Nothobranchius furzeri: one gene and its partners. The protein of the gene in region 3 purifies or fractionates together with the protein of the main gene of each other region. This does not show direct contact. Links are inferred from orthologs where the notes say so. Each region holds a gene or a part of one and is shown on either strand. Other genes may lie near its edges. The genes, in order: claspin, rfc5 and rad9a.

The links.
Region 1: the proteins of rad9a (region 3) and claspin purify together in Homo sapiens (affinity purification with western blotting; 3 studies listed by BioGRID and IntAct, with this or other methods). This does not show direct contact. The link is inferred for Nothobranchius furzeri from reciprocal best matches to the Homo sapiens genes RAD9A and CLSPN.
Region 2: the proteins of rad9a (region 3) and rfc5 purify together in Homo sapiens (affinity purification with mass spectrometry; 3 studies listed by BioGRID and IntAct, with this or other methods). This does not show direct contact. The link is inferred for Nothobranchius furzeri from reciprocal best matches to the Homo sapiens genes RAD9A and RFC5.

Annotation. Positions count from the first base shown.
Region 1 is NC_091759.1:26,753,908-26,757,976, forward strand, and holds the start of claspin, read left to right. Parts: upstream 1-1,210; 5' UTR 1,211-1,345; coding exon 1,346-1,372; intron 1,373-1,968; coding exon 1,969-2,077; intron 2,078-2,153; coding exon 2,154-2,476; intron 2,477-2,557; coding exon 2,558-2,704; intron 2,705-2,820; coding exon 2,821-2,880; intron 2,881-2,960; coding exon 2,961-3,033; intron 3,034-3,112; coding exon 3,113-3,215; intron 3,216-4,069.
Region 2 is NC_091750.1:34,481,184-34,484,793, reverse strand, and holds part of rfc5 (replication factor C subunit 5), read right to left. Parts: intron 3,340-3,610; coding exon 3,210-3,339; intron 1-3,209. UniProt on the Homo sapiens protein: Subunit of the replication factor C (RFC) complex which acts during elongation of primed DNA templates by DNA polymerases delta and epsilon, and is necessary for ATP-dependent loading of proliferating cell nuclear antigen (PCNA) onto primed DNA.
Region 3 is NC_091741.1:91,717,569-91,721,939, reverse strand, and holds the start of rad9a (cell cycle checkpoint control protein RAD9A), read right to left. Parts: upstream 2,857-4,371; 5' UTR 2,629-2,856; coding exon 2,595-2,628; intron 2,496-2,594; exon of another isoform or gene 2,489-2,495; coding exon 2,418-2,488; exon of another isoform or gene 2,394-2,417; intron 2,290-2,393; coding exon 2,216-2,289; intron 2,122-2,215; coding exon 2,073-2,121; intron 735-2,072; coding exon 620-734; intron 489-619; coding exon 389-488; intron 194-388; coding exon 87-193; intron 1-86. UniProt on the Homo sapiens protein: Component of the 9-1-1 cell-cycle checkpoint response complex that plays a major role in DNA repair. The 9-1-1 complex is recruited to DNA lesion upon damage by the RAD17-replication factor C (RFC) clamp loader complex.

The DNA of each region.
Region 1 (4,069 bases), on a different chromosome or scaffold from region 3:
TGTCACACTGAGCTCTATTTGGTGTTTTATTGGATTCAATTAAAGATCCTGAACACCCTGAAGTTAAGGAGCCTACCTTGGTCTGAGTCAGAGACTGGGATGGCATGGATTCTGGAAAAACAAGAGAATCTAAAATGCAGACAAAAACAGCATTATGACAAGACCACAAGGGCACTTAGACTGCTTACAAAGGATGATGTGGTGAGAGGCCAAGATCAAAATGCATGGAGCAGAAACGCCATTGTTCCTCAGTAAGCTGACCCAAGATCATATGAAGTAAGACCTGAAGGTCGTAAACTCAGAAGGTACCGTCATAATCTGCTGAAGAGCAAAGACGCCTTTTAGGAGGAACAATGTGGTGAGAAGGCAAGCTGTTGTGGCTCAAGCAGAGATGGTGCCTGCCATAGGAGGACATGAAAAGCAGAGGAAAGTGATGTCTCTCCAGGACCTGTGTTGAGGAGGTCAGCGTACCACCAGAAACCAGTCGGGGTTCATCTATTGTCGTATTTCTATGTTGAGCGTACTGCAGAGAGAGGGGTGAGATTCTTCTAACGCACGGTCGTGCACTCGAGCCTGCGCACGTGCCCAAGTGCACTTACAGAAGACCCGGAGACCGCAGATTCAGGCTTGTACTGTTTTGAGACAGCGACCTCTAAAGGATCAACGTGTAACTGCAACTGCAGATTCAAGCTTAACCGTTATTTATAAATAATATGTAATTGTCGGTGAAGCTTATTAAAATAGTTTATTCGTTGTTAACGCTTCAGTGAAGTAGTTCTCAGAATACAAATTTGAAAATTCCTGAGTAAATTTTAATAATAAAAGCTTTTATCATATTTATTTAATTGAAGTTGTTTGTAGAAACAAAAATAAAAAACTTTCCGATCGTACTCCATCTTGGAACGCTAGCTAACAGTGGGCGGCGCTGTCTCAAAAACAGTACAAGCCTGAATCCTGTGGGGCGCAGCAAACTTAGCCGCCCGCCTGCGCAGCGCTGGTGGATGTTTTAATTCCTCCACTAACTGTGTCGTCACACTGGGCGGATACCTCCGTCACAGATGGTCCAATAGCAGGGCGAGAAGCGCTGGACTGACAGCTCGCTGGTGAAAGACCGCGGGCCAGCTGTCACGGCGCGCGAAAGTGTAAACTTTGTGTTCGGTGAGCGGGTGAGGCGGGAGGAAGCGGAGCTGTCCGGTAAAACGCGGCCTAGCTGTTCGGTAAGGAGCTGCAGTAGAGTTCTTTTCACGGACACGTTGTTCTCGGTGTCGGTAGCGGCTGTAGCCGTTAGAGGAGCGGACGGAGCCTCGTCCCTGCCGGGAGCGGGCGGACCAACCGGAGCACAAAGATGAGCCTTGTCCTGTCTCACCTGCAGGTAAAGACGCTAGCAGGCGGCGTCAGTGGAAGGTGTACAGACAGGTACATGTGAGACAGGTGTGTGTTCAGCGTGCTGGAGGGAAACGTCACCAACAAGGTGCTAAGGTGCTGTTAGCCGCTTAGCTGCTAACACCGAGGAATCGGTTCTTCCGTTCACCTCGTTCTAATTCGGTAGAGCTCCGTTAAAAAGTCACATCAAACAGTCCGAAGGTCCGGTAGCCGTTACCGGACAGCTGGGCGTTCGGTCCGACACGGTTATCCAGCTGTGACGTTGATTCATTGTTTTACTGACCGAAGGCGCCATGAATCCGGCTAGCAGCTGGTCTGGGATCAGCTAGTCCGCCTTGACCCAGACCGTGTTTCTGATCAGGACTGGTCCCAGACCAGTGTCTCTCTGTGGCCCGGAAACCAGTCCGAACCAGGTCAAACGGCTCTGGTGTGAGAGGTGGAACAGCTACGGGTTCTAGACCCGGTTCTCACACACACACACACACACGCACACACACACACACACACACACACACACACACACACACACACACACACACACACACACACACACACACACAGGCTCTGAAGTCTGTCTCTCTTCAGACTGAGGCGTTGGCCCGAGCAGCACCACAGAGCCACTGGGACAGCGGGATGGGTCCTCCTGCAGAGGAGGAGGTCCCAGAGACGTCTGATAGAGGAGATGAGTGTCCAGGTGAGACAGACCTGCTGCAGGACGCTCGTGGACAATCAGGAGAAACCGTGGTCCCCTAAATCAGTTTTTCTCTCAGATTCAGATGATGACATCACAGTTCACAGGAAGCCTCGGCGTAACGCCATCAGAGACAGTGACAGTGAGGAAGAGGAGGCACCAAGACGCCTGGAGCTGTCTGAAGAAGCGGTACCTGCCTCTAGTGAGGACGAAGAGAGGAGGAATAAAGGAGGACAGAGGAGCAACAGAAAGGCTCGTGCATCTGATGGTAGCGATGGAGAGCACGAGGAAGAGGAGGAGAATAAAAGAGAGAAGAGTCAAAGGCATCGAAAGAAGAAAGAAAAACGCAGCAAAGTGGTGGAAAGCCTGAAAAGGAGAAGGAGGTCTGGTGGAGGAGAGGAGGTGAGTTCCGTCTGAAATTTTCATCCAAATAAATCCAGAAATCTTAAAAATAAACTGGTCACCTTTTGCTCTTTCCATCAGGACGTTCCTCTTCCTCCAGCGCTGAACGACAGCGGCTGTCCTCTGGGTGATCCAGAGCTGTTTAGCACCGGTCTGGAGGAGGAGGAGGAGGAGGAGTCTCTGGACGCCATCAGAGCTGCGGTCAGACAGAAAGTGAAGAAACACAAAGTAAGAACAAGATGTTTACGTCACTCTGACCCTAACTCCGCTCGTGTTCTGGATGAGAAGAGTCCGGACGTGTTTCAGGAGGAAGTTTTGACTAAACTTGTTAAATGTGACTGTAGGACCCCCTCCTGGAGGAAGAGGAGGAGGATGAAGAGGTCCCAGAGAAGCCCCAGCGAGCGGTAGGATACAGCACCACGTTAGACCAGGTAGACGACTCGGACTGAAGGTAGAATAAACTGATTGTCTCTGGGGGCTCCAGGAACGGAAAGCAGCTCGAGCCAGCAAGGAGGCGATGAAGCAGCTTCACAGTGAGAGCCAGAGGCTGGTCCGAGGTCAGTTCCCCTGGCTCTGCTCTGCTTTAGCTGCAGGGGTTTGATCTGCAACACGCTAAACGTTTCTCTGCGTCTGTAGAGTCGACGCTTGGGTTGCCATACCACATCCCTGAACCCAAAACCATCGAGCAGTTCTTCAAGAGGAGGACCCGGCCGGAGGGATCGGCCATGGCGCTGCTGAAGTAAACAGTAACAACTAGTAGCCCTGCGTTGGCGCGGCCCTGGGTTGGGTCGACGCGGCCCTGGGTTGGGTTGGGTCGACTCGGCCCTGGGTTGGGTTGGGTTGACGCGGCCCTGGGTTGGGTTGGGTTGACGCGGCCCTGGGTTGGGTTGGGTCGACGCGGCCCTGGGTTGGGTTGGGTCGACGCGGCCCTGGGTTGGGTCGACGCGGCCCTGGGTTGGGTTGGGTCGACGCGGCCCTGGGTTGGGTCGACGCGGCCCTGGGTTGGGTTGGGTCGACGCGGCCCTGGGTTGGGTTGGGTCGACGCGGCCCTGGGTTGGGTCGACGCGGCCCTGGGTTGGGTCGACGCGGCCCTGGGTTGGGTTGGGTCGACGCGGCCCTGGGTTGGGTCGACGCGGCCCTGGGTTGGGTCGACGCGGCCCTGGGTTGGGTCGACGCGGCCCTGGGTTGGGTTGGGTCGACACGGCCCTGGGTTGAGTCGATGCGGCCCTGGGTTGGGTCGACGCGGCCCTGGGTTGGGTTGGGTCGACGCGGCCCTGGGTTGGGTTGGGTCGACGCGGCCCTGGGTTGGGTTGGGTCGACGCGGCCCTGGGTTGGGTTGACGCGGCCCTGGGTTGGGTTGACGCGGCCCTGGGTTGGGTTGGGTCGACGCGGCCCTGGGTTGGGTTGGGTCGACGCGGCCCTGGGTTGGGTTGGGTCGACGCGGCCCTGGGTTGGGTCGACGCGGCCCTGGGTTGGGTTGACGCGGCCCTGGGTTGTGTTGGGTCAACGCGGCCCTGGGTTGGGTTGGGTCGACGCGGCCCTGGGTTGGGTCGACGTGGCCCTGGGTTGGGTTGGGTCGACGCGGCCCTGGGT
Region 2 (3,610 bases), on a different chromosome or scaffold from region 3:
TGCCGTTGAGTTTGAGGAAATTAGAGGTGAACCATGATTTGATTTCAGAGAGGCAGAGTGTAAGGGAGGATGGTGGGAGAGTTGAGTTGGGCTTACTGGAAATGTAGAGCTGGGTGTCATCTGCAAAGCAGTGAAACTGGATATTGAATTTGCGGAAGATTTTGCCGATAGGGAGGAGATATACTATGAAGAGGAGGGGCCCCAGGACAGAGCCCTGGGGCACACCTGACTTGACTGGGGAGGGTTCTGAGGTAAAGGATTTTAACTGGATGAACTGAGTGCGGCCAGTAATGTAAGATTGAAACCAGCGGAGGGGGGTGTGAGTGATGCCTAAGGAATAGAGTCTATTAAGGAGGATGGGATGAGAAATGGTGTCAAAGGCCGCACTCAGATCGAGGAGAATAAGAATAGAGATTAAACCAGAATCAGCAGCAATGAGTAGGTCGTTAGTGATCTTAATAAGTGCTGTTTCTGTGCTGTGGTGGGGACGGAAGCCAGACTGAAACTGTTCATAAAGGTTATTGCGGGTGAGATGTGAATGGAGCTGAGATGCAACAGTTTTCTCAAGGACTTTGGAAATGAAGGGAAGATGGGAAATGGGACGGAGGTTATTGAAATCATTGGGATCTAAACCAGGTTTTTTTAGAATAGGGCTGACTGAAGCGGATTTGAATAGGGATGGGACCGTACCAGAGGATAGTGAGGAATGAATAATGGCTGTTATAAAAGGGAGCAGAGAAGAAAGGCAGGATTTAACTAAAACAGTTGGAATAGGGTCCAGTTGACAGGTGGAAGGTTTGGATTTGGTGATGTAATCTAATATTTCTGAGGGATGGGGAAGTTCAAAGGAGGAGAACGGAATGGTGGGTTCAAATAAATCAGGAGAGGGAGGGGAGGAATGAGGTAAAGAGAGATGGATTCTATTGACCTTCTCATTAAAAAACTGAAGGAGAGAGTTACAGGTTTCTGAAGAGTAAAGATGGATGGGTAAGGAGTCGGGAGGCTGAAAAATGCTGTTCATGATGGAAAATAATGTTTTAGTGTTGCTGGAGTTGGACGAGATGAGACCGGAGTAATACTGAGATTTGGCATGGGAGATGGAGTCCTTGTAGAGAGAAATCTGAGCAGAATATAAGTCTTTATGGATGGTGAGACCGGTTTTCTTGTAGAGTCTTTCAAGCCTCCGGTTGGTAGCTTTCAAGGAGCGAAGGGCAGGGGTGAACCATGGAGCAGACCGAGTAAAATATACAGAGCGGGATTTGATGGGAGCAAATGAATTAAGGATAGAAACCAGACCGTTATTGTACTGAATGACAAGATCATCGGGAGTAGAGGACAAATTAGGGGTCAGGGTGGCAAAACTGGAGGACAGGGAGGCTAGATCAATGTCCTTAATATTACGAAAAGAAATGATACGTGGTGACTTGATGATGGAGAGACGGAGGGGAACAGAAAAGGAGATGAGGAAGTGGTCCGTGAAAGGGAGCGGGTCAGCTGTGCAGTTGGAGGGGGTCAGGCCGGAGCAGCAGATTAAATCCAGGGTGTGACCTTTAATGTGAGTGGGAAAATTGGCATATTGATGAAAACTGAGGCTGTCCAAAGATGAGGAGAAGTCTTTGCTGAGGGGGAGGGCCATATTGTCCATATGAATATTAAAATCACCAAGTAAAATTACATTTGGGGAAAGGGCGGACAGATGGGATAAAAGAGCAGAGAGTTCATTTAAAAACTCAGGGCTGAACTTGGGGGGACGATAAACAGTGACAATTATTGTGGGGGTCGGGCCGGAGAGTTGACAGGCGAGGCATTCCAGAGTGGTGAGAGGAGGAAGGTTTACGGGAAGGACCTTCCAAGTCTCGCGATACAGTATCGCGAGACCACCGCCGCGGCCCGACCCACGGGGTTTGGAGAGGTAAACAAATCCGGGAGGAGTACAGTCATTGAGTTGTGAGAAATCGCTGGGTTGTTGCCATGTTTCGTTCAGACAAAGAAAGTCTAGCTTATGGTCACTGATGGTATCTTGGAGGAGATGTCCTTTACCAGAGAGGGAGCGAATGTTGAGAAGACCAAAATTAGCAGTGCGGAAGTCCCTGGCGACAGGAGCATTAGTCCGACTAGCCAGCCGGGCTAACACGCTGGAGTCGGCAGCTCGGCAGGTATTCCTGGGTAGCCGCCGGCTAGTCGTGGACCAGAAGGAGGGTATTCCTTTGGAGCCGTCGAGATGGAGGTTCCGCCGGGACCCCCGATGGATATACCGACGGCGAGGCTGGAAGGTGATGTCGGGGAAGAGGCACAGAGCTGGTGGTGGAGATCCGGAGTAGCGAAAGCGGAGGTTGAAGAGCTCCGCCGCCGAGTACTGGAGAAGGCCATCCACGGACAGAAGAATGAGCGACAGGATGATCCAGGCCAGTGCGAGGCACACAGAAATCCTGCTGGACCTCATTATGGAGTGGAGCAGGGAGGTGGTGATGTGCAACCAGAACGCAAGCTGAACAGGTAGGTGAAAATGAGTTTTCACCGACACAGGGATGTGACCAGGGTGAAAAAGAAGAAAAAAAAAATACAAAAAGTTTGTTTGCCAGCGAGCAGCGGCAGCGAGACGCGCCAGCGTTCACTCAACCGGAACCGGGTCATCCAGTTTCAGTTTCAGTATTTCAGTTCTTGGAATCAATTCTGAACCTTTGTGGATCGATTCTGAATCTTTATAAACAAGAATCCCGATTCAGACTTGAATCGATTTTTTTCAGCACCTCTATTTGCAATAAATAAAAACTTAACTCAGGAACTAAAATAATCAAAAACAAAGAAATAAAAAAAGTCATAAAAATGAGAAAAGCAAAAGATGCGAGGAAAGGGAAAAAGAAAAGGCGATCGGTGGATCCCGGGAAAGGCTAAATCAGCAGAACTAAGCTGACTCAGGCGTTTGCCAACCATCAAAATTAAGTGCCGTCCGCCTCGGGGGCGGGCCTCCAACGCATGAGAACCCACCCGACTGGCCAAACGGGTGAAAAGCTCTTTTATTTGTTAAGAAAACATCATGCCTCCATCTGACAGAACGCATCATGTGTAGCAAACATTTGAGCTGACCATTGCGATATTTATCTGTTCTTTGCAATATGCATATCGTGCATGCAGATATCGCGATAACGATATATTTACGACATATTGTGCAGCCCTACCACCACACATTAGGTGGTGGTGAAGGATACGGTTGTAAGCAGTGTTGAAGTCTTTGTTGAGGCACCAGTCCAGGATGTTGGCGATGTCTGAGCGAAGGGGCTGGCCCGTACAGGTGTACACCGTGTCCTCCGTGACCTTCCCGTACGCCATGCTGGTGCTCTGAAATCCCAGAGAGAGCACCAGTTTACCCCTCTACTGATGTGATGATGAACGCTGTGGCGACTTAACACTTCCAGGTAGGGATGCACCGATACGATACTGGTATCGGCACCAATACCAGTATCGGTAAAGGTTAACCGATACCAATGCAGTTGTTTGAAAATGGCTTCACTGTAACTTGTCATTTCTGTTCACCTAATATTTTAGTTTTGTGATGATTTCCATTCATATATTTTACTTTTTATCTTCCTCACAGTCTTTTCCTGTTGAA
Region 3 (4,371 bases):
AATACCAGATTCTTTGGATGATCAGAACAAACAGATTCAATGAGCTGAAGCTCTGGGCTGGGAGAGAAAAGTAAAAATCTTGCCACCTGCTTCGTCCTCCACATGGTTCCTGACCCACATCCGTTCATCGCTCACTGTCACAGTCACTTCTTCCACAGATAAAGGGAAGTGAACAACTGTGTCCACCAGCAACCTACCAACAAAGAAAACAGAAATAAATTCTTCATAGTATATTTAACTAAACAAAATGCCACTTTGTTTTTAATTACACGGTTAAAAATGACAGAGATTAGTCTTTAAAAGCAGCATTATGAACATTAAGTCTAAGAAATCCAACAGAAAGAGCATAAATGCTTCATTTAAAAGTCCACAGACAGATGTTACAGACCTGGGATGGGCTCTGAATACATTGGCATAGCTATCTTTATCAAACACTGCCTGTAAGCTCTCACTGTCCTGGTAAGACAGGTTATGTGTCTTCAGGAGACCTGCAGAGAAACAAACCCTTAGAGGTCTAAATGACACACCGTAGAATAAAATGTAATGAATTCAGAGCAATTAGTCAGAAATGTGTCAGAATAAACGTGTTGTAGCTGAGGTGCAGGAGGGGCTCTGTTACCGTGTTTGCAGTGCAGCGTGAAAGTCAAGCGGTCCTTTGCTTCATCAAGCTCTATGTGACACTTTTCTACAGTTTTCTCCAAAGTCGCCACAGATCTGAACACAGTCTGCACACTCTGATTCACACACAGGGAAAAACATCTATTTAACAGAGACAGCACCATGTCCATGTTAACGTGCAGCAGAAATGAGGATTAATTAGAAGATCGTGAAGTTCTAAACTGCCTTTTGACTTTCAGAACATTTTCATAAGAAAAGTAACCCGTTTTACTCTGTAAGTCTGTCTGCAACCATCAGGAGGAAGTTTAGAGGTTTTGCAACTAATAAAAAAAAATTCACACAGGTAACCACAACAAGCCTCTGGTAGCAACACAACAGGGAAGATGACATTTGTAAATGAGCACGACAAAACTTCTAACTTCATTCAACTCATTCCGGTTCAGCAGCGAGTTAGTTACTCATAACTATAACTAACTTTGGACTGTTTGTTAAAACAACAGGTCCTTTAGCCAGGAGGTGAGCCTGAGGGCTGTAAAGGTCAGAACATTTGTAATGAATACATCTAATGACCAGACTTATACTAATGTAGCAGAACAGCTAAAAGTCACAAAAATAATTCAGCTCTAAGCTTGAGTTCCCAAACTGAAGCAGAAGTAACAATATTACATATCTACCCTGTACTCAAGAGCATGCTGGCTTCTTTACAAAATATATAGATTTATTTGTTTGACTAACACCTTTTTAAATGACATCTTTAGAATTTTGAACATTGAATATTTGTAATTTATAAATTGCCAGTTGTTCAAAAATAACCTTATGAGGCTTTACTAATCCCAAATCTACCCCCAGTAAAAGCTCAGGAGGAAAAAATCTGGTCAAACAGAGCAGAGTCAAACCACGTAGCACCATCGTTATCCAAATACTACTACTACTAAACTTTATTTATATAGCGCCTTCACATGGCCCAAGGACCAAACAAAGCACTGCACAGCAGAAATAAACATTAAAAAATAAAAACATATAAAACCATTTAAAAACCAACAAAAACATGCAGATAAAATCTAGGTGGGGCAGCAAAAAGTGCAAAGCCAACCAAATGGTTGTCTTAAAGCAAGCATACAACAGCTAAACCGTCTGCAGTGATAGAACACTATGGGACCTAAAATTTGAAATCATCCATTAGTTTTTTAAATTGCTTCCAATTAGTCAGATGTCCTTGTGACCATTAAAAGTGATTTTATGTGACAGTTAAAGCTCTGTGAGCATCTTTCAGAGATTTTCTTTGGACTTTGGCTGCTTATTTACTAATTTCCACCCCAGTCTCTGTCATTTTTAAACAAATGTTTATCCCATTACTGCATGTTGATGTGGAAGAACTCAATTTTCTATTTTACTGCCTCTTCTCACACAAATAACTTTACAATTCAGACTCTAAACAGCTTCTATTCTCACACCTTTATTGCCATCTTGCAGCGGAAGTTGACCTCTTTACGGATGTTGTACCTGCATGAGAAATGAGATGGCCTTTAAGTTCTCCCATGAATGTGCTGTTCACTGACCCAATCTAAATTCCACACAGAGAGGGGAGAGTCTGCACCTGCTGAAGAAGAGCGGTGCGAACAGGAAGCATGCGTACGCCGACCGAGAAGAGTTCACGGACCGCAGGGCCAGCTACGAGAGAGAGAGAAAAACAACAAATTCAGCACTGTTCATTGACGCAAAGTGTGCACCAACAGGAAGCAACCAGACTACATGCACGGCAGGAAGTGTCGGTTTATCAAAGCATCAGTTCAGCTCACCCCGTCACCCTGCGGCTCCACGTACAACTCGTCTCCGATCCTGGACAGGGAGTGGATGGCTTTGGCCAGCACTGGACGGTACACACACACATACACACACACACGCACGCACAGCCACACAGTTAATGTCAACGATTCATTATTTTCGCTGTCAAACCAACCGACACGGTTCGCTACCTTTCACGTTTCCTCCAGTCACCACACACTGCATTTCTACTAACTTTTCCGTTAAGTTAGCAAATCAAGAAAAATGTTAGACAAAACTAGCATCCACCACCGCGAAGAAAAACGGTTAGGGTTTAATGAAGTGTCCAGGGAACACGAGTCTTCCTGTCAAAAACATTGTTTTCTTCTTATTTTGTAACAAAAAAAAATATATATATATATTTTATCAGCGGTAACTTCGGCTCAACCCCATCCTTCTTGCCTCTTGTTTACGCCGCCATAACCCATTTCCGCATTATGGACCAATCAGGGAGAGGGAAGAACCGAAACGAACGTGGGTTCTGTAAGCGCATGCGCAATCCGTTTACACACGTTTACTGATTTTTTTTTTTGAAAATAAAACGATGTTTATGTGTAATTTAACTATCTAAATATATAAGCCATTATATTAAAATAATTGTTTATAATGAGGGAACATATTAGTTACGTATTTAATAATATTTTTTAATGACTAATAAAAAAGCAACATTAGTTAATTCCTGTGTTTATGTTTTTTAACATATTTATAAACATAAACCAATGACCTAGCCGACTCGTTCCTTTCTTTTTTTAAATGTTGACTTAGACAACAAGCAACTCAAAGTTTATCTGGATTCTTCTTGTTTTATACCTCAGAGTCTATCAGAAGAATTAAATCTGAACGTACTGTATGTCTCAAAACAGGCTGGGCCAACCAATCACAGCATTACAAAGAAGATGAATGATTTAGTTCAGAGAATTTAGAAGGAACAGGTTATTCCAAATATGCTTTCTTATTTGTTTCATTTTGAAGAAGCATGCTATTAATAGCTGTAATTAGCAGAGTAGACTCAGTGTTGAGAAAGAGGGTGTACAGGTCCTTCTAAAAAAATTAGCATATTGTGATAAAGTTCATTATCGTCTGTAATGTACTGATAAACATTAGACTTTCATATATATTAGATTCATTACACACACAACTGAAGTAGTTCAAGCATTTTATTGTTTCTAATATTGATGATTGCATACAGCTCATGAAAACCCAAAATTCCTATCCCAAAAATTTTGCATATTTCATCCAACCAACAAAAGAAAAGTGTTTTTAATACAAAAAAAGTCAACCTTCAAATTATTATGTTCAGTTATGCACTCAATACTTGGTCGGGAATCCGTTTGCAGAAATGACTGCTTCAGTGTGGGGGGGCATGGAGGCAATCAGCCTGTGGCACTGCTGTGTCATGTTCTGAGGAAGGTGTCTAACCCAAGACATGCAGAATCAACCCAGGAGACAGTATAATGAAAAATAATATTTTTATTCGTGGATAACGGTAACTGAGGGCGCACTGGGAATTCCAGTGGACAGGGGAAACGCAGTGTTGGGGTAAAATGAGTTCAGCGAGTGAGGGGATGGGTAACGAGCCGGGGGTATCCAGGTGTGCGGTTCCAGAGCTGGAGAGGGAGCGGGTAGTCGTTGGAGAGCGGGTTGGTCAGAGGTGAATGGATGACGTGGCGTGTGAGCAGAGCAGAGTCCTATTAAGCGTGGTGAGGGAATAATCCAGAGACGAGGAGAACCTGAGGTCAGAGATCCAAGAGACGTAAAGTCACAAAAGTCCCAGGAAAAGGTACACATAATAATGTTCACAAAAACCAAGAGCCAAGTACGAGGGCTGGAAACTACCAGTCAGTAGCAATCATCCGGCGTCGAGTAGTGTCACCTTCCTCCTTAAGAAGTCAACCTGCTGATTAGCTGATCAGGTGCAGCTGCCGCTCC